Notamacropus eugenii: one gene and its partners. The protein of the gene in region 3 interacts with the protein of the main gene of each other region in a pairwise test. Links are inferred from orthologs where the notes say so. Each region holds a gene or a part of one and is shown on either strand. Other genes may lie near its edges. The genes, in order: PDCD4, CCDC174 and EIF4A3.

The links.
Region 1: the proteins of EIF4A3 (region 3) and PDCD4 interact in binary tests that used the Homo sapiens proteins (3 or more experiments, as listed by UniProt). The two-hybrid records come from large-scale screens. The link is inferred for Notamacropus eugenii from reciprocal best matches to the Homo sapiens genes EIF4A3 and PDCD4.
Region 2: the proteins of EIF4A3 (region 3) and CCDC174 interact in binary tests that used the Homo sapiens proteins (3 or more experiments, as listed by UniProt). The two-hybrid records come from large-scale screens. The link is inferred for Notamacropus eugenii from reciprocal best matches to the Homo sapiens genes EIF4A3 and CCDC174.

The regions. Positions count from the first base shown.
Region 1 is NC_092872.1:188,639,291-188,646,228, reverse strand, and holds the start of PDCD4 (programmed cell death protein 4), read right to left. Parts: upstream 3,060-6,938; 5' UTR 2,973-3,059; intron 2,516-2,972; exon of another isoform or gene 2,183-2,515; intron 941-2,182; exon of another isoform or gene 808-940; intron 1-807. UniProt on the Homo sapiens protein: Inhibits translation initiation and cap-dependent translation. May excert its function by hindering the interaction between EIF4A1 and EIF4G. Inhibits the helicase activity of EIF4A. Modulates the activation of JUN kinase.
Region 2 is NC_092874.1:430,515,789-430,523,871, reverse strand, and holds the start of CCDC174 (coiled-coil domain-containing protein 174), read right to left. Parts: upstream 3,070-8,083; 5' UTR 2,984-3,069; coding exon 2,849-2,983; intron 2,500-2,848; coding exon 2,395-2,499; intron 1,815-2,394; coding exon 1,714-1,814; intron 755-1,713; coding exon 696-754; intron 1-695. UniProt on the Homo sapiens protein: Probably involved in neuronal development.
Region 3 is NC_092873.1:322,650,590-322,657,597, forward strand, and holds the start of EIF4A3 (eukaryotic initiation factor 4A-III), read right to left. Parts: upstream 3,097-7,008; 5' UTR 2,933-3,096; coding exon 2,764-2,932; intron 1-2,763. UniProt on the Homo sapiens protein: ATP-dependent RNA helicase. Involved in pre-mRNA splicing as component of the spliceosome. Core component of the splicing-dependent multiprotein exon junction complex (EJC) deposited at splice junctions on mRNAs.

The DNA of each region.
Region 1 (6,938 bases), on a different chromosome or scaffold from region 3:
CCAAATAAAACAAAAACAAGAGAACACTTCATTCTTTTTACTAAATAACATGAAAATATCAATATTTAGGAAATGAGTTGGAAAATTATGTTACTATTCTCTCATTGCTATCAAAACTTTCAGCAAAGAAAAAAGTCCAACTTTATATGGTTAGTTAAAACATAAGCATCTTAGTGATGCAGGCACAGTCTTTTGTGAGAAATACCAAGTGGTATTTTTTGTAGCACTGATTTTTACCTCTTTGATTTATGAATATCTGAGAAAAAACCTGACCAAATCATTCCAAAGATCCCTGCAGTTTTATTTGGAAATTGAATGAACCCATATTGGCACAGGGTAAGGGTACAAATGCAAATAATCCAGGAGCCAATATCTGCAATATTCAGATTTCTAAGGTAAAACTTAAAAATCATTAAGTCATTTCTAATCCTCTCCTCCCCCTCTGACCTTCCTCAGAAAAAATCATGCTGAAACTTTGGGAAACAAAAAATAACGTCACCCAAACCAGGTAAGCAATTTAAAAATCAGCTTCACTTTTAAACATCTGCTCAAGAGCTTATTGATATTATCTACCAAGCTCCCAGACAAACACTGAAGATTAATGAAATTATGTTTGCTGATTGCCTTGTTTTATTTTACTGACAGAACTGTTACTTCACAGGAATATTTATTTTGATAGAGGTGGTACCCAATCGCCCTTATTTGCATTGATAGGATTCATTTGATTATGCTTTTTTAAAAAGATACTGATCCTAAACTTTCCAATTAGTAAATTGCAAAAACTTCAGGAAGGAGGCCAAGCATTACCTCCTTAGAACAGATGTGGTGTTGCTTTGATCCCCTCCAGTTCCTGTCCCTTATCTGAGATAAATCTCTTTCCCCAGCAAAATCAAGGCCTACTTCCTATGGACTTTGCTCACTGGACATCAGGCACACCTCTCTAAGGAATAAAGAGAAACCTCTCTTTGGCAGAAATCAATTCCTAACATGTGAGAAAACCCTAAGCCCCAGCTGCGGGCTAGCCCTCTCAAGAGGAACAGTCCAGAGGTTTCAGTATGTGGATGGGTCTCTTTTTCCTGGATGCTGGTGTCTGGAGAGTGTGCCTACAAATACAAGGCAGATAGTCTTCTTTTAAGGCTCCATGAAGGGGAGAGTCAAGCAGACTTCCTCTTCAGCAGGAGGATGGATCCTTTGGGGCCACCTCTTTGTAATGGAAGGAAGGACTGCGGGGGAAAAGAAATTCTTTCCCTTCTAATGGGGGGGGGGGGGGGGCGGTTCAAAGAAAATCAAGAGGAGGGGAAGAAGGCTTCTCTCCTCTAAGAAGGCCTGAAGGAAGCCATTAGAGGAGGAGGGCTCTCCCCTTGAAGAGAGGGTATTAGTGGAAATGGGGTGCTCTCCCGTCTAATGAAAGCTGAGGGGCAGGAATTCTCCCCCTAACGGGGGCTGGGAAAGCGGGAAGGGAGCCCCTCCCCCATAAGAGCGGGAGAAGGAGGGCCTGAAGGGGAAAGGGGGGGGGTCTTCACTCTAAAGGCGGCCGTAGAGGAGCGGGGGGGGGGGGGGGGGGGGGGGGAGCCTCCCCTTTAATAGCGTCTGGGAGAGGATGTTTCCCTTCTAACGGGGGCTGGAACGGAGGAGGCTTCTCTCTAACGGGAGCTGCAGGAAGGAGAGGGAGGGTCTCCCTTCCAGTGGGGGGCCGCGGGGGAGGAAGGGGGCGTCCCCTCCTAAGTGGGAGCTGGAACAAGGGGGAAAGCCTTCCCTTTTCACAGGGATTAAGAGGGATATTCCCCCCCAACGGGAACTGGACAGGGGAAGGGGGCTGAAGAGAAGGGAGGATCTCCCCTCTAACGAGGGCCAGAGGGGGGAAGGGGCGGAGGGGAGGAAGAGGTGTCCTCTCCCACGCGGGCTGGAAAGAAGGGGATGGTCTCCCCTCTAATGGAGGCCGAGAGGAGGGAGGGTCTTTCCTCTAACGGGGGTCGGAAAAGACAACGAAGGCATCCCCGTTAACGGGGGCCGGGGCAGATGTGGGGTCCTGCCCTTAAAGCGGGCCAGAGAGGAGAAAGGCATCTCCCCACCAAGGGGAACCGAAAAAGGGGGGGCTCTCCCTCTCGGGGGGCGGGGCCCTCTCCCCAGAGCGCTTCGTGGCACGGGGCAGGGAGGGGGAGAGGGAGGCGGGGAAACCAACCTCCCCGCAGTGGCCGGCGCAGGCGCAGTCGCGGTCGCAGGGGGCTGAGGGGCCTTCCCCAGGGTCTCGGGGGAGGGGGGGGGGTAGGGCTCAGAGGGTCCGAGGCTCGGTCCTCCCCGTCCTCAACGAGCGGCCGCTTCAGCCAGGAGGGAAAGGAGCCTGCCGGCCGCCCAACCGATACTAACCCCTCCTCGGGCCCCCGCCGCCGTTCGCACCGCTCCCGCGCCAAGCTCTGCCGCCGAGGCCGCTGCTCCCGCTGCCGCCTCCTCCGCGCCTCTCTGGCTTCTCTCGCTCTGTTTGTTTTTGTTTTCTTCTACCCAGTAACACGGGGGCGAGAGGGCCGCGCTGATTGGCCGGAGGGCGGCGGCGGGTTGTCCAATGAGAGAGCGGCGGAGCGAAGGCGAGGGAGGGAGGCAGGGAAGGAGAGAGGAGAAGGGAGCTGGTCGCGAGAGGAGCCTGCGTAGGCGCATGCGTGTCTCGCTTCTCTGGAAGGGAGTAAAGGAGAGGGAAACGGAGGGGGAGAGTGGGGAAATGAGCAGACTGCCAGGCCGGTGCCCTCTGGCTTTTTCCTTTAGCGCTTCTTCCCCTTGCCTTGTCCTGTTCTCAGGTCTGCACACAGAGAAGCACCGCCTGCCTTGAGCCTCCCCTGGCGCCTCTCCCTAAATCCCCTCCCCCTTCCCGCAGTCCCACAGCCCCCCCAAACCCCTCGGAGTGGTGGGTGAGAGGGTCCCGCCGTGGCAGGACAGCCTCGCCTCCCTGGGCCACGCGGTCCCGAGGCCGGGCTGCAGACCTGCCGCCTGGCCTGGGGCTGGGCGAGCTGGCTCCCCGGATCTCTAGCCGCGCTTCAGCCGCTCTGCCTCTTCTGTCCTGCAGAGTCTTAGCCCTGGAAGCCCATGATCACATGAGACAGATGGGCGTCCTTTGGCTTCCTTTTCCTCGAGCTGGGAAGAATCTTAAAAATCCTCCAGATCCTACTCTAGAACCCGAGTCTCCCAAACCGGGCTCCCGCAGCGGGTCATTAGAGAGCTCGGGGGTCCAGCCCTGCTCCCGTTGGACCGTGGTGGGGCTGGGTCGTGGGAGCGGACAGGGTGGCACGATCCTAAGGGGCTTAGAGAAGAGGGAAGGAGCCGGGTAAGGGGCTTTAAAAGCCAAGAAGAGTTTCTACTTTACCCTAGAGGCAATAGGAGATGAAGTGACTGGGTGAGACCCGCACTTCGGAGGAGAGATTTGAGGAACATAGAGGAGTCCAGACCAAAGGGGATGAGAGTTGTAGCTGAGGAACTTAAGGAGCAGATGGTGTGAAGGTAGAAATGAAAGATCTGGGAACAAATCAGATGCGTGGAGAGTGGCACTGTGCTTGTGAGCCCAAGTGAAGGCAGGATGGTGATGCCCTCTGGAGTGGGGAGGCTTGGGGGGAAAGATAATGAGTTGTTTTGGATGGATGGGTTATGTGGAGGGTGACTCAGAGAGGGGAGAGTCTAGATAGGGAAAGGAATTAGCAGGCAGATTGGGCTGTAAGATCTCTAACTTCCATTCTTAGCATCTATGTGAGATACAAAGACGCATCCCTGCAGTCCTGAGAGAAGTGAGGGCAGTGCTAGTCTGGGATAAGAAGCAGGTCTTAGATTTCACCTGATGTGCATTTTATGACTACCTCGCTGGACCTGGAAGCTCTCACCTTTTGTAAGACAAAAGGAAGATAATATGTGAATCCACATTTAAAAGACATATTCCATATTTGTTGGTGAAGGGAGTGGGAAGTTAATAAGTTAATGTTGATAAATTACTTGGAAATGTTCAAATGAAAGGATAAAAAATAAAAATTATTATTAATGATGGGGTTCAGAGTCTGGGAACCTCCTTGAGCTCCCCTTGAATCTTCCCACTTAATCTGGCCTTTCTTACTCAAATCTAATCTTCCCATTAGTTCCGGCAGTCTCCGGAAGCCATGGGATTTTCATTATCATTCTATTCAGATCTCTGTTGCCCCCCCCCACCCCCACCCCCACCCTTGATCCCATCAAAACCCCCTTTCCCCAGGCTGCCAACCACACCCATCAAGATCTGTGTACATTCCCACACTGCCCCTATCAGGATCTCTGGATTGCCCCACCTGCTTCCCACCTAGGTCCCCCTTAGTCTGTCTCGTGATAGCCTCCAGCTGTTTCCAGCCTTTGACCCTCCTTGGATTCCCTCCTTGGACTTTTCTTCAAGATCCTTTCTAAATCCATCCTCCCATCACCCTCTACTACCAGACCACCCCCCAGATCCCTCCTATACTCTTTTCTGTATTTAAGTTCCATCTTGCCTCCATGAAGGCGCTCAGATTCAATCCAGCTCAGACTGTCTAGCTGGGATTCTGTCTGGCCCGCTTGTAAATACAAGCCTCACAAATGCTTAGGCTCCTTGAGAGGCAACCCAATCTGGCGAATCTTTAATAAACTTTGTTTTCTTTGGCTTTAAGAAAGCTTGAGTCGAATTCATTCGAGCATGACCCGGACTGTCGGTATCTTGGGGTCCATGATCACCCCTCAACCTCATCATTACCACCCTTGGAACTGCCTAAATGACTTTTCTTCCCCCATAACCTTTTCATTTAAGCAAATCCTGATTTGAGAAAGTAAGGTAACCTTAATAGCCATTTCTTAAAGTATGTGTTCTCCAAAACTTTGTCCCTTAGCCCTCTTTTTCTTTTCTCCCTATAACTGTCTCCCATGGCTGTCTCATGGATTGTCAGGCTTGGATAGAAATTTAAAGATCATCAGGCCTAACTTCATTTTACAGACAAGGAAAAAGAAGAACTAAAATAATTTACCCAGTCACAAAGTTAGTAAAAAGCATATCAGTGACTGTAGTCCACCTCTGCCAATTTCTTTGGTTTTCATCCCATTGCCTTCTGTATGTATGTCATAGTCTCTTAATTCTATTCCACAAACATTTTGATTCCCTACCCCACACCAGACATTATGCTAGAAGCCAAGGATACAAAGACAATTCCTGCCCTCCAGAAGCTTATGTTCTACTAGCAGGATACAACATATTCTCATACAAATAAATAATGAGATAGTTTATGGTAATCTGAATCTCCATCCCTGGCTTCTTTCCAAAGTTCCAGACCTTCATGGCCAACTACCTCAAGGACATCTCTGTTTCACTTGGATGTCCTACTAATGCTTCATACTCAAAACTAAATTTGTTTTATTTTCCCCAAAACCTGTTCTTCCCTTACTTCCAGAGAAGCTTATCTCCCAAATTAATTCACAGCTCTGGGACTCACTCTTGAGAGGAGCTACCTGAGCTATTGATCAGAGGATAAATAAAGGAAACCTCACCTCAACCTTCTATTTTTTTTTCTGTTTTTTAAATTAAGTTTATTTGGTTTTCAACATTTACTTCCATAAATTTTAAATTTTTCCCTCTCCCACCCTCAACTCTCTGTTTTTAATCCAGACTGAGCTTCATCTTACCTAGCCATCCCACCAGAACACTCAGTTTAGTGCTCTCCATATAGTAGGTGCTTCAGAATTGTAGAATTTGATCTAATTCCTCACTTATTTTGAAGTACCAGGGTATTGATATCCCCATTTTTCAAATGAAGAATCTGAGACCCAGAATAGTAAGAAGGTCTCACTGCTGGTAAATGGTAGGGCCTAGACCAGAACTTGTATCTCCAGAGCCCTGGTGATGCTTCCAGTGACCTTCCTATCACAACATGTTGCTTCTCTTTAGTAAAGGATTAAATATTCAAGTCTAAATACAGTGAAAGCAGTCCTAAAGACATTGACAAGTTTGGGAAATAAGCTAACAGATGTTTAGAAGCTATGTTACCAGGGACCAGGACAATATTTAGAAATTTTTCTCAAGAGTAAAAAATAAAAATTATTACACTGTCAGCAGGGCACAAAGAAGTAACCATATTTTAAAAAGATGAAGTACTAAGCAGAAATAAAAGCCAGTAAGTTTTCATTCCCAGTTCATATTCTTTTTTCCCCAATTCCCTTTTTGAGTTATATTCTAAAGCAGTGATGTCAAAACTCCCATAGAAAGGGGGAGGCCCCGTGCAGCTACTAAACTATCCATACATTCACTGCAGGTCTCATATTGACCTAGAATACCGCATAGTAGAATTATCTATTTTAATTGTGTTTTTATTTATCTTGTTAAGTATTTTCCAATTATATTTTAACCTGATTCTGGCAGCGCTCAGGAGTGTTGCAGGCCACAGTGCAGCTGGCAGGCTGTGTGTTTGATACCTCTGCTCTAAAGCACAACCTTGGAGAATGTGAGGGAAAATAACTTTCCTTACTAAATCAAGCCTCTCTTGCTATATTTGGGACTTTGGGACAGTTTTAATTATGACTGCAATATATCAGTTAAAGATTTACTTCTCAAAACTCTCTTAAAAAAGATCATGTACCTAGACTGACTAAAACTCTCTCCTCTGTCACCCCAACCCCTTGTAAGGACACCATCTAACCTACTTGTTTTATATGATTAACACATCACCACACCTTAGCTATAATTATATAAGCTTTGAGAAGGTAAACCTACTCACATTCTCCTCCCTCTGGTTCAGTATCACAACTTCAGTCCCACTTAGTCCTCAAAAAGTTCTTCATGTCCTCTGATTCTCAGATAGTTTGAACACTTCTCATTTTTTTCTCCGATGAACTAAAACGTGTCACTGTTTTTTAACCAGCCACTTGAACCAGTTAGTCACTGCATGAAGTCTTTTCTTGCCTCTCAAAGAAAACTA
Region 2 (8,083 bases), on a different chromosome or scaffold from region 3:
TAGAGGAATCTATGCCCAGTGACAATGTCATTGCCTAGAGAACACAAAGGTTAAGTTTTTTAGAGAAACACTGGGTAGAAAACAGAATGACCGTTCTCCATAACAGACAAAGCAATCAAGGACAGTACCAGTCTAGAGGACATTATCAATGTGAGCGGGGAGAATCAAGTCACCTGGTATGTGGTGGACCTTATTTGACCTATTTCATAAACAAATTCATTAAATTGTTTTATGAGATTTTGCTACATTAAGGTTTAAAAAAAGAGTCACAGGAATGCTACCTACTCACTTAATACATATTTAGTCAAAGATTACGATGAATAACACAAAGGGCTAGGAGAATACAGGTCAACAGAAGTATTGAAGCAAAACCTGCCCAGAATTTGACATGGTGCCTGGTACGAAGTGGAAGCTCCTGTCAGAGCCAGGACCGCTTCCTTCCTTGTACTTGTGTCCCTAGTTACCATCACAGTGCCGAGCACATAGTAGGTACTTGTTGAACAACTGACATGGAATCAGAGCTCAATAAATTTGATGATTTGATTTAACTCCTTTTCTAGCAAATACTCATGAACATCTGGCAGCTTTCTTCCCCATTATTACTGTTGTTGAAAAACAAAATACATAATTCAATAGGGTTTTAAGTGAAAAGACAGAATTAGAAACACATCAACATCTCTCAGTTGAATATTTACCTAAAAAGTCTCCTTTAGTCATTTGTTCATACAATTTGGCTTTCTCTTCTAATTTTTCCCTAAAAAGAAGAAACACATATTAAAAAAACAATAGTACTTTCAACCATAAAACTAAACCCAATTCAGAGTTACTAAAGACACCAAACTAGAACTGGCATTAAATGTCAAGGAGGCAAGAGTTTTCCAAACACTAACAAAAGGCCTTCTATCTGCACCTTTCAGAAAAGACAGCCACAGACACGCTAACAAGAAAGCACTAAGCCTTCTTAATAGAACTGAAAGCTAGTGGTACTCACAGTATAGCCTCAACTGCCAGGGAGCTACACCCAGGTAATGTTCAAGCTGATGTCTCATCACATTGGTGTTTATATTATTACAAAGCAAGTTCCTTTGCCATGAGCAATCTTTCTACTGTTACTACTACTACTGCTACTGCTACTACGACTACTACTATTACTACTACTACTACCAAAAGTTGACATGTATTGATCACTTCATAGTGTGTAAAGCACTTTATAGACATGATTTCATCTGATCCTCATGAACCTTCTGTGAGGTTAAATATACTACAGGTACCGTTATTCTCATTTTACAAGAGAGTAAACTGAGGCCCAAAGAAGGTAAGGTGACTTGCCTGGAGTCACAAAGGCAGGAGGAATAAGGTCGGTCGTCCTGACTTCTTGGTCTAGCACTGTCTAGACTACAGCATATGATCAGATGACTCACTGGCATTTTATCCAAGAAATGGCTGTTCTGTCCATTAACTCTGGTGAGACTTATTTTTTTGCAGTAATAAACAGGACCAAGTCGGGACAGGTGATCCAGTCTTTTGCCACAACTAAATTAGACCACTGTGCTGACTTCATAGGTAGGAAAATTTAGGGAGCAACCAAAACAATTTCCTTCTTCTTGGAGATCTCCATTTTACTGGCATGTTTTAGATATTACTTTACCTAAAGGCTCATGTTAAATCTCTCAAAGGTGAGGAAAACACACATTTCCTGGGGCTTGATGTTACCTAGACTTGTCTAAGGTCTTCTGCTCCTCAAGCTTCTGTTCAGCATCTTTTTCAGCCCGTTCTGAAACACCAACATTCTGTTTGTTCCAGATACTTGGTTTCTGGGGAATATAAAAAAAACCAAACAACACAATAAAACCAACATGTGACTGTTAGTAAGACGACTACTTAATAGCCGGAGAAGGAAAACAACTTGCAAATAACTGGTCAATGGAATACAAAGCCTACTTATGGTGCCAGATACAATGGGAGCTCAGTCATGGATGCGCTAACAACAATTTCTAGACAGTCACATAGTATCACTAGTAGCATTAATCTGTTCCCTAATTACAGCCTCACTGACAGCTCTAATTTTAGAAAACAACATATCTGAAGAACAATGTTCATTGTCCAACTACAGGTAACAATGTAAATGAAGCTAAACCACTCAAATCTAAAGCCATCAGCAGCTTTTAGAGCCCTCCTCAGTACGTTCCTGTTGTTCTGATGCTCTCATTTGGCAGCTATTCAGTATAATGACGCAAATGGATTTTTATCCTCTGGGGTTATATTAGAGCTATTTATTGATAACAAAACATGTGAATAGACATTGTGGTCTACCATTCACCAGGTTCAGGAAATAATATCTATAGTTGTGAAAAATTTTATGTCTGCAAGAAATTAATAAATGTATTTTTCTACCTTGTTGGTTGATTTTGGTTTCCCTGGAACTCCAGCATCTTTGAGAAGTTTTTCTTGTTTGAATTCTTCTTGTTTTCGGAAAAGTTCAGCTTTGAGGTCCACTATCTAGAACAAAAATAAAAAACAATCACCTTTACCTTTCATCAAGCTGAATGGGTGATAACCCAAGGGGATGAGGACTGTATATTGTCCATGTGATGGTCATGTAGTTACAAAGACAGCTGGTTAATCCATCAGTACATATATGTTGGACAACTGAGTAAGAAGAGAAGATTGAGTGGATCAGGTTGCCTTGAGGAAATTGGGGAGCGCTCTGAAAGATCTCAAGACACTCCCTAACACAAAAGCTCATCTTAATAATAATGTTCTCAAACAACAAACTTTTATATGAAAGAGTACTCCAAATCACTAATGAATGACAGAAATTAACATCAAAACAACTCTGAAGATTCACCTCATATTTGGCAAGTTGATAAAGATGATAAAAGACGGACGTCGACATTGATAGGGTTGTAGGAAAACAAACCATCTGATGCACTGTGGGTGGAGCTCTGAAGTGACTCAACAACACGGGAAAACAATGTGGCATTATGCTGAAGAAGTGATGGAAAGTCCATACTCTTTGATCTGGAGATCTCAGTAGTTGGCATATATCCCAAAGTCATAAAGAAAGATCATATATACAACAAAATATTCAGAGCAGAACTGTTTGTAAGTAGCAACGAACCAGAAACAAAGCAGATGCCCAGAAATAAGGGAATGGCTAAACAAACTGTGGCACATGAATGTAATAAAGTATTACTGTACTATAGAAACGATGAAAATTCAGAGAAACACAGAAATGCTTATTCCATCTGCTACAAAGTAGAGAAGAGAGAGCCAAAAGACAACAGACACAAAGAAAATCATAATGTAAATGGAAAGGATAATAACAAAAATGAATGCTGAATAAATACAATGACTGAACTTGACCCCTGCAAAGGTGGGAGACCACAAGTATGGAACATTACATACATCACCAACCTTGGATAATACGTTTGATACGCTGAACTGCTCCCCCATGCACCCTTCCCTCCCTTTTAAACTCTGTGTTACAAGGGGTAACTTGCTGCATATGGAAGAGGGGAGAAGCATTCAGAAATGAATATATGAAAGTGATAGCCACAATACCAGCCACAATTTTTAAAAATCATGCTGTCCTTGTGATTCTCAATGGCTTTAAACCATGGAAAACCATGATCTCCAAAGAATTAAACCAAAAGACAATGAAGAAATTCATGGCACATATAAGTAGGCCACATCACATTACCAGTGACAATTTGTGCCTAAGAAATGGCATAACACAATTCATCCAGAAAATGTAGGAAAAGAAACAGAAACTCAAATCTCACTGATACAAGGAATCCTAGATGAAAAAATTCCCTCTATCAACACAAACTGGTATCTTTGCTTATCTTCTAGTCTCAGAATTGCCTCAGGCACAGAGAGGTTAAGGGACTTGCGAGGGTCGTACAGCCAGTACACAGCCAGTACGTAGACAGAGGCTCTCCTGGCTCCCCAAGGCCAGTTATTTGTATACAACCATGCTCTGAGATGGTGGGAATGATAGGACACTCAAGTGCTGCACTGGTACTCATTACAGGCTAAAAAATCCAGAGTATGGCTCCTAATGCATCAGGGAGATGTTCCTCAGAAGATCTTGATTATTAAACATAACTGAGAATCACAAAGGAGAAAGCATGGGTAGCTGTGATCACCACCACTAAGGAGATTTGTAACACTATCAAAATATTCAAAAGAGGTAAATGCAGTAAATACACGTTAAAGGGGCTAATAAAGCAAACAAGATCTCTGATAAGGTTACTGACTACAATATTGAAGCAGTGAGCTGCTTCATTAGGGAGCTGGATACAAACTCAGAAGACCCAGGCTTCAGTCTTTCAGTGCCATCACTCAACAGCTCTTTGACCTCGAGCAAGACACATGACCTTTTGGGCTTCAGTTCTGTAAAATAAGGTGATTAAATAAGATGGTCTTTAAGGTCCTTTCCAGAGCTTATAGGAATGCCTGTTCTCTTGCCTTTCTACCTTCATCGGTTTTTCTTATCTAGACAATTAAATTTCTATTTTGGAAAAATATCCCTAATGTCACTTTCTGGAGTAAAAGACAGTTTCATTTTCTGAATTTAATTTTCTTGAACAGATGTTAAGCTTTTATCTTTTCCTCTGTGCCTTCCCTAAAACAAATTCTTCAATCACAAGGGCATAAACATACCTCTAAATGACACTTAGAAAGGATCACAAAATTTAAAGCTGGAAAGGAATGCAGGGGTAATTTAGTCCAACTCTTTCATTCTCCAGATCCTATTTCCCAATATCATACTCTAAGAATCCATCCCCCAGACTATATGCAGGAACCCAGAACCATCCCTACCTGGCTACTGGGCTGAGCTTCATGAAGATCGTCTAGACTCTGCTTTTTAGAGATCTGGCCTCCCTAAATCAAAGGCTACAGCACTTGACATGCTTAACCACCCTCTCTACTTTGGGTTCCCATGACTGCCCTCTCTTTGGTCTACCCGTCTAACTGCTTCGTCTTAGTCTCTTTTGCCAGACTGCCATCCATGCCATGGGTATGGTGGGTATGCCCCAAGGTTCTGTCCTGGGTTCTCTTCTCCTCTTTCTGTGTATTATTTCAGCATCCTCCACCAGTTCAATTATTATCTTCATGGAAATGATTCCCAGACCTTTTTATCCAACCTTAGCCTCTTTCTCTCAGGTATCAGTCCCACATGACCAGTTGCCATTTGGACATTTAGAACTGAATTGCTGTCGGTATCTCAAACTCATGTGATAAAAACAGAACTCATTTTTCCCCTCAAGCCCTACCTTCTTCTCAACTTTCCTAACACTGTTAAAGCACACCCCAACTCCAGTGTTACCCTCAACTCCTGTCTCTCACTCACCCGACATACTCAATCAATTGCTAAATCTCATTTCTTCTTCTCCAGTATCTCTCTTGGACATTTCCTCTATACTCACACAGTCACTACCTTGTTGTAGGACCTCAGTACCTCTTGCCTGGACTACTGCAACAGCCCTTTCCCTTTGTCATTTGCCTCAAGTCTCTTCCCATCATATAATCCATTCTCCACTTAGCTGCCAAAGGGATTTTCCTAAAGTGTTGGGATGATCATGACATCCCTGTTACTCAACAAATTCCAATGGCTCCAACATTCAATATAGAGTCCTTCGGCATTTAAAATTTTTCACACCTTGGGTACTTCCTACCCTTCCAGTCTTCTTACATTCTGTAAGCCATACTCAATGAGCCAACCAGACTAGACTACTTGGTGTTCCTCCAACTCTATCTCCTGTCTCTTTACTTGGTACTGGAAGTTCCCATGCATGCTGACAATGCTCTCTCTTCCAATCCTACGCTCTTGGAGTCCCAGGTTCCCTTTAAGACCCAGCTCAAGGGCCATATCCTTAAATAGGCTTTTCCTGGTCCCCCAGCTGCCAGTGCCATCTTTTCCATTGATTCTGTATTTATCTCTTGTTATGATTTTCATGTTGTTGGCTCCATTAGAAAGGAAACTCCTTAAAGGCAGGAGTTGTTCTTGTTTTTGCTTTGCATTGCCAGCACTAAGGAAAAAAGTATGACACAGAATAAGTATTTTACAAATGTTTACTGATGGATGAAATGTGGGATCTATGAGGGAGTGCTACTGGAGACTTCCAAGCAGAGACTTGGTAATTTTTCAGGGATGTGATGGAAGGGATTTCAGGTATAGGCTGGACGATGTGGCTGCTAGGGTCCTTTCTGATTTGGAGATCCTTCTGTAATCTGAATCACAGAAAGGACCTCTCTATCAGAACCACACATTAAAAAGTTCAGAGAAGAAGGGCTCAGAGGAACTTTTGACTACTGTAAGGTCATAGAAAATAAGAAACAAAAATAAAATAGGTCATAAGTTGTAAGCCTGACTCTTCTACTTACTTGTTGAGCATGTGCAAGTTATTTTATTTCTTTGGGCCTCAGTTTCTTTACCTGTAGATCAAATTAGCTCAGCCAGATAATTTCCTAAGGTTCCATCCAGTTTTAAATAAAGAAAAAATGGGACAATATTATGTTCGTAACTTAGCTACAAACTGGCATACCATTAGCAAACACCTCAGGATCCCATTTTATCCCATTCAGTTGTCTTTTGGCTGGCCCTTCTTTCCCTGTTGATTGAAACATCAACAAAAGACTGGCAGGTCATCAAAGTTTTGTTGGCCACCCTGATGCCCCCATGTGCGCCATAACCCAGCAGTATGCTTTGGGCTATAGTCTGCTAGTCTCCACAACAAAGAAATGAATCTCCCAATCTTTCAAGGCAAGAGAACGAACAATGTAAACAGATCACTAACATCCTGGCTGGTGAGAATACAGGGCTGAATTTAATGAGATTAATTTAATGGGATAAATATAAATTCTTATACACGTGTTAAAAAAAAAAAGTTGGAGAAGAGTTTCAAAAAGATTGGTGGCATTAGTAAACCACAGGCTCGATGAGTCAATGGTAAACGTTAGCCAAAAAAGTCCATGGAATCCTGGGCATGAAGGGAGGAAGGAGGTGACAACCGTGCTGGACTCTGGCCCCTTCAGACCCCATTGAAAGAATTCAGTTTTAGGCACCAGGGTTTAAGAATGGTATTGAAAAACTAGAGACTACAAAGAGGACAACAAGGATGGTGAAAGGCACTGAATCCATGCAATGGAGGAGGAGCTGAAGGCAGCAGAGTTGTTTAGAAGAGAAGACTCAGGGGAAGCATGGGAGCCATCTTCAAGTTTAGGAAGGGCTATCACATGGAAGGGGGATGAGATTTTTTTCTTCTGTTTGGCTCCAGAGGACAGAGCTAGAAATAAAGGGCCAAAGTTGCAAAGGGGCAAATTAAACTTCGTGTGAGTATAAACTTCCCGATGACTTAGGCTATCCCAAAGGGCTAAGAGAGGCCCTTGGTCACTTTCCCCTCATTGGGGAGCTTCAAGTAAAGGCTATAAGCTGCCACCACCACCACCACCACCACCAACCCTGCTGCTTCTGTTGTAGGGAGATTCTTTTTCAGGTGTGGGTTAGGCTAGCTGACCTCTGGAGGTCTTTCCAGCTCTGATGTTCAGTGATAGTGTGACCAGGAATCACGAATTATGTCAGAGAATTTCTGAGTTGAAAGGGACCACAGAAGCAGCCTAGGCCAACCCATACATGACCAAACAAAAATTCCTACAAAATCCTCAATATGTGGTTGTCTAAAGTCTTCTTAAAGACTAGTGACCAAAATGTACATCTTACAGTATTCTAGGGGAGCCATAATCCTTGTGTTCAGGAAGCTCTTACTCTTCTGGAGCATCTGAAATCCATTCCTTAACACTAAGAAAGGATCAGATGGGGTCCAGAAATGTACACCAACCTGATACCTACATTTGGAATACAAAGATGACTTGCACTAGACTTTGTTTTGAGTGAGGGAGGGCTGTGCAAGGTCACCAGCCTCACTTTCTCCTCCTGAGCCATCTGGATCCAGGGACCAGATATTCATCAGGATGACCTGAAGATGTCCCAGGATGCAATAGGAGACCTTGGTCCATTCAGGTACTCACTTAGAGTGAGGTTACGGCCATTCAGTGAACAAGCCTCTCTAAGAAG
Region 3 (7,008 bases):
CTCAACAGATGTCTGTTATTTTGTATCATAATTATCTATCCACGAGTCACGTCTGCCCAACTAGACTAAACCTCATGAAGAGACTTTGTGTCTTCCAAACTCCTCTCTGTAAATCTAGCACAGTGCTCTACATGAAGCTGGTGTGTAATAAATGTTTGTTGAAAAGAACTGGTGCAATGGAAAGAGCAGGCTAAAGATCATCAGAAGCCCTGAATTCTATTCTTAGGTTTACCACTACTTTGTTATGTGACCTTTACCTAACAGGTCCACAACTGGATAATCTCAGGAAGACAACACTAAAAACGAAAGGATGGAGGTCATCAGGAAATGAGGTGTTCCCTGAACTGAGCTATGAATGAAGCTAAGGATTTTAAGAGGCAAAGATAAAGAGGGAGTAGATATCCATGTATGGGGAAGGAGTATGTGTGAACTCATAGAGCTGGGAAATGGAGCATTATTTTAGGAAATCTTTATCAGTCTGGTTGGAAATGTAGACTTTTATAAAGAAGAGTAATGTAAAATGTGTCAGGCTAAGAAGTTTTTATTTCATTCTAGAGGCAAGCGGGGGTAGGGGTGGAAGCAGTGGCATACACAGTCAATTTTAGCAGCTGTGTGGAAGCTGGTTGGAAAACAGATAGATTAAAATCAAGAAAACCAATTAGGAGGCTTTATAACAATCCAAATGAGAGGGCAATAAGGGCCTGAGTTAGTGTAGTGGTTTCAAAGGGCAGGAAGGAATAAATGTGAGATACTGGGGATAAAATATATTTGTCATTTAAATGAAATTACTTAAAAACAAGAAAAAATTTATATATCTGTGTTCATAATTGAAGATTTGTTGGTAAGATGAAGTCTGAAGTTAAAGACTCTCAGTTTACAGTATTGCTAAATATACTATCTATTTCAGATAGAAGAAACTGATAATACTGAAACACTTGGAAAAAGAGTTGCTACCCTTTATGGATGCTGAAATAACAAATGACTCTTCAGCGATTACCCCAAGTCCACAGTTAAACCAGCTTTTGCACAGTTGGTAGTCCAAATAAGAGTTTATGTAGGTGGGTCAAAAAAAAAAATGCCATATCAAAGCAGATGCTATAGGTCAGAAGTTCAAATCAAAGGCTGGGAGAACTGAAGGGCCCACCATGATACTTTCCAAACATGGGGAACAAAATCTATGGAAAAGCAGCAGAGACAGAAGATGGAATGCCTTGTGTGAGAATCAGCATGAGGCAGTCTGGCTGAATGTGTGTGTGTTTAAGTATAATAAGATTAGAAGGTGGTCAGTCTGTCCTTCGCTAGTGAAGAGCTAGCTTGTGAAGAAGATTTAAATAACAACTAGGAGTTTATATTATTATTGAATAAAAAATTCAAAATATTTTTCCTTATGAATTTTCAGGGTCTTCTGAATCACTGAGCATCTAGCCTAAACTCAATAACTTTTTCACATTAATGTACTGAGAATTTTTTCCACTTCAAATCTGTCCTCATACACTTACTGGCTGTGTGGCACAGGGCATTTAACTCCTGTTTACCTCAGTTTCCTCAACTTTAAAAAAGAGATAATAGTAGATTGTTCTGAGGATAAAATGAGATAGTATTTTTAAAGTGCCTAGCATAACACCTGGCACATAGAAGGTGTTTAATAAATGCTACACCCTCACCCCCTTTGTTAGGCTAAGTAAAAACATTTAATATATTTCAATTAAATATTTATTAATTACAAATCACTATCTGCTACTTTACTAATAATGATCTTGTAGCAGGAGCACTAAATTTGGAATTTCAAGACCAGGATATGACTATGAACCCCAACATTAGAGTCAAGAGACTGAGCAAAAATAGATTCTAAGTCTCAGTATATCTTTCTGTAAAATAGGAATAATAATATTTGTACTTCCAACCTTATGGGGATGCTATGAGGAAAAACCTTTGTAAAGTGAACTTTATGTAAAATATAATTACGTTGAAAATTTTATGCAAATTTTCCATCACCCTAACCTCACTATACTTTAAAGATAGGTTACCGAACTGTAAAATAGAAACGATTTATAATGCTGGAATTCTAACTAACGTAGACTTGTGTTTTCCTCTTAAGCCAATTATAGTTCTCTGGAGTACCTAACTTTCAGTGTTCAAACATTCCCAAGAAACCTTTTGTGAAAGCTCATTTTCTCATTTGTAAAATGAGGTAAGTTGGACTAGAGATCGATCATCTCCCAAAGAAAATAAAGATACAAAGCAGAAAGATTCTAGAATAGAGGGATTTTAATTGGTGGAAAAATGCATTAGTCCAGCAAGCATATAGCAGTCAAGAGCCACTAACTGGCTGTGGAACTTCCCTCTAGGAGCCTCAGTTTTCCCCAGCTGAGAGATGGGAGGTTGAACTAGACTGAAGTTAGTAGATGGTTTCTCCAACTCTGCTACTCTGCTTATGAGGGTCCGGGAAGCGTGCTCCTCCTCCCCCACCCCTCCCTCCGCGGGCTCCGTAGCATGCTCGGGGCAGCGAGCTCGAGGACTCCGCGAGGGAAGCGGGCAGGCAGGCCTCCCAATGAGGTCACCGCGGGGCGGAGCTTGGAGCTGCTCGGGCTGCCCGTTGCCCGAAGGCCTACAACGACACCCGACCTAACCAGAGCGCACCTCGTAGCACTGGCCCTGAACACAATCTGCCCTTCTCTCCCCCGCCCGGGCGTCCTTCCCTCCCAGCAGCGTGCGTGCCCGCCTCGGCCAGCCGGCCCCCGGCAGCGCCCGCGCCCTGCTCACCGTAGGCGTAGATGCCTCGCAGCAGATCCTCCCGCAAACCCATCGTGTCGAAGGTGGGGGTCACATCCACCTCTTCGCTGGTCTCGAATTCCACTTTTGTCATGTCTTCCTCCTTCAGCAGCCGCTTCCGAGCAGAACCTGAAGTAGCCATCGTGGCTGTGGCAGCCATACTGCCTGGGAAGCCGGAAAGGGGTTGAGGGGAGGCAGGGAACTGCGCGCGCGCGCGCACGCCGAGGCCCCAGAAAGAAGCACACAGAAGCAGCTGATAGGCTGCGCCGTCATCTATCCATCTCCGTAGTTAAGGTCAGGGGTGGGCGGGTGTGCGTCCGAACGTGCGCAAGCACGCACGCATAGGCGCGTACGCACAAGAACGTGCGCCCAGGCGGATCCGACGGTTCCTTGTTCTCTCCAGGTCACGTGACCGGGGAAGGCGCCGCGCTTTCCGTTGGAGGGGGCGGGGAGCGGAGGGGGAGTTACCCGTAGGCCTAGGGTCTTAGTGGCGTCAGCCTCCTAAGCTTCTAGTGGGCCTCCACCCTGAGGATCAGAGAGAGAATATGGGGGTTAGGAAAGAAACTATTTCAGTGCAGGACTGGGCTGGGGAAGAAGCCGCGGCATTCAGGCCTGGTTCGTAATCATTATTTGGGGGCTTTCAATAGCCAAGCCCCGCGGGGAGATTCATGGCTTGGCTTGGCTTTGTGGGGCACGCAGAGAATTCTCCTGCCTCCCTCCCGTGACCGTGGCACCTGGCAGCGAGCGCCCCTCGGGACGCTTCCCGTCCACGCATTTGAGAGTTGTAGGCACAGCTGAGAGACATTTGTGTAGAAAGACACTCCCTGGAAGGCGGAACAGGACCCCTGCTGCAGAGAAGGCAGATGGTAAGGGATCGAGAGCCCAGCCGGATCTTCCCCGCAGAAACACGGCACTGAGGGCTAGATCTTGGGTTCCCCGAGGAGAGAGAGGACTTCCAGGCTCTGGAGTTCCCACTGCTTGGGCCGCATGCTCGTGAAGACCTGATTATCCCGTGTATGCCCACTCCTCTGGAGGACGTTGTGGGAGGGCATACTTTAATTTTATGGGGGGGGGGGGGGGGTTGTAACTTGCCTTTGCTGTATCATCTTAGTAAATATCTTTGCTAAGAACTAATTTTGTCCTCTGGTTGATTGCCAACCGCTGGTGGGGGCTTGCAAAGTTATTAGGAGTGAGTAGCTCCTGGATACCCTTCTAAAACTTCTTGGCAGCAGCTCCTTTCTGAGGACCCAACCCATGAGTGCCAGTACAAGTTCAAGTTGAGGGAGCAGCCCAGAATGCATGTTACAAAAGGGATTATCCATTTAGTAATTCCTCCTCAAAGTGAAGAAGTATAGCACTAGTTGTTACATAATTTTAAAGAGCAAAACCAACTTCTTACACACATAAGAAAGGAATATAGAACTTCAGAGACCAGACGTGAAAACTATTACAGAAGTTTAAAAGTTTTATGGACCTTGCTATGCTACCCCGTAGTCACATAGGCATTATGTGTTTCAGAGAGGACTAAGTCTTCCTCCCTCTCCACCATGCCACATTGCTTCTCCTAAGTAACATGTATAAAATAAACCTTTTATTTCAGGTAAAGGACTGTGATAAGCGTGTTTGTGTGTATTTATGTGCCTCAGAAAACATCACCTATTCCATTTTACCATTTTTACCTATTTCAAAGCCCTGTGTTGACAGGTAAGTGACCAAGCAGCAGGTAGTCACAGTGCTGCACACAGGTGGCCAGGCCACAGGGACCTCTTCTCACTGGAAGCCAGGAGTGGGATTTGGTAGCCACCTGGGTGTCTGAGCAGCTGTTTTTGGACTACCCTTTAACTCCTGGTGTGAGGAAGGGATTAGAAAAGGTGACCTAAAAATTGTCTACCTTACCCAACCCTGGCCTGCTTACTGTGGCAGACGAGGATTCTACTCTGTGGTCAAAAAGACCTGAAAGAAAACAGCTCTTGTTTCAAGAAAATTTAGCAACTGTCACATATGCACAAATTTAGAGACATCGCCACTCCAAATGTTCATATGGACTGTACCTGACCTGAGGTAAAATGTTCCAAGCTGTTGTATTGTGCAGAGTTGGACACAGTACCTTTATTCCAACATAGTGATGTCATTTTGATCCTCTTTGAGAATAAAGGACAACAACCATTTATGCATTTAAACATATAGAGGATTTTGAAAGCAGGAGCTAGGTGATCATTTGTCTAGGTAACATCTGAGGTCTCTTCCAGCCTTAAGATTTTATGTTACTTCTGGCCCAAGTGTTATTGCATCTGGCAAACAAATGATTATCACATGCAAGGAGCTGCATTCCCAACTTAGTGCTAGAAAATCTGTTTATTATGACTATATATCCAACACAAATGGAAGAAATCATAAAATCCGGTTGACTAGGTCTACTATAAGTTTGTGTTATCTTGTCTCAACTGAACCCTCACTCCTGTATGCCAATCTTTTTATTCTTCCCGATGAACTATCACAGTCTTGAAAGTCTGTCCCAAAGTGTATTTTCGCTCTTCAAGCTGCCCGTACCAATACCTTCCCTGTTCTCTCTTAGCAGAAGGCCTTATCTAATACTTATATTCCATACTTCAAATCACCTTGACATCATCCTTCTTTCAATCTTCCTTTGCTCCATTCCCAGGTGATAATTTGCCTTTTTGTGGCAAGTGGAAGATGAAATGACTAAGGAAACCAAAAAAGGCTTGCACTTCTGAGCATTTTGGTTTATTCAGCAATGCTGCTACTTGCCTGACAAATTGGGACCAGTCTCCTTCCTCAACTTTGGTAGTGGACCTCAAACGCAGGTGGAGACACATTAGTATACATTAAAAACAATCAAGTAAGACCAATTGAGTAAGAGGAAATAACCAGAATATAACACTGGATAAACTGACTTCTAAGTAGAAGAAAGATCAGGGACTTTACTGGTTAGAAGAGGAAACAGGTGCAGTTCCTTGAAATCAAAAGGATATTCCACTTCCCCCACATATCTGTGAAAAATCAGAGGAACATGATAACAGTAAATGAGTGATCAGTATGGGGCCAGTTTTCAGAAAAGACATTGCTTGAGATGTATAATTGTGAGAAAACTACTTGTATCAATTTTGGGGTCTGATTGGGTTTCTGGTCTTAATTAAGGATCTCTAAACAGGCCTCCCAAGTATGCAGAGCTGGGTTCAAACAGTGCAATGGAGTTTTCCCCCAATTCTTACAACTGAATAAAGTTTTCCCACAAGACAGAAAGTGAAATATACCACTAACTGAGTAGGGAACTCAGCTAGCTCCAGAATTGATTCACAAGATGGACCTGATATGGTTCACCCAGTTCCCACAATTCAGTTCCCTCAATTTTCCCCTTTTCTTTCATGGGAGAGTGGCAGCTCATTCCCTCCATGGATCACTTATCTATAAGCCAAATCCATAAGATTTTTCATATATTCATAAATTACATCAGTCAGGTTATATAGATCATGCTAATTAGAGGGCTTACAGTGGACTAATTTATATTTCACCAGGGTAACCATGAAAACTTAAACATAAACACCATGAAATAAAAGGCTAAACCAACACAATAATGATCATCAATATTATCTAAAATGAAGTCTCCTTGTATCCTAGTAACCCACTCCCAATTCCCATTTTCATCAACACATTTTGAGTACCAGATGTCTCTTGTTGTCTGTTCTCTGGATATCTTCTCCCTTGAACATGCTGGAATAGGCCTCATTCTCAGGGCAGCTCCAAAGGAGACTCAATTTCTTTGGTTCCAAATCACTTTTAAAGGTTCCTAGATAATTCTGATAAAATCAAGTAGTAACAAGATTTAATGCAAGTACAATCTCTTAAATTTGGTTTTCCAATCCTGAAACTAAAGAGAAACTCGGTTTTTATGTACCACTTGTCATTTTTATCCTTATATAAACCTTGTACTTCATATAAGAAACTTTAAAGATTCATGAGGGTCTAACTTTTTTTTGCACTTAATAGTATTTTATTTTTTGCAATTACATGTAAAGATAGTCTTCAACTTTCATTTTTGTAAATTTCGAGTTCCAATTTTTTCTCTCTCCCTCTCTTTCCCCTCCCCAAGACAGCAAGCAATCTGATATAGGTTATACATGTACAATCAGGTTAAACATATTTCCACATTAGTCATGTTGTGAAAATAGAATCAGAACAAAAGAGAAAAACCATAGGAAAAACCAAAAACATACC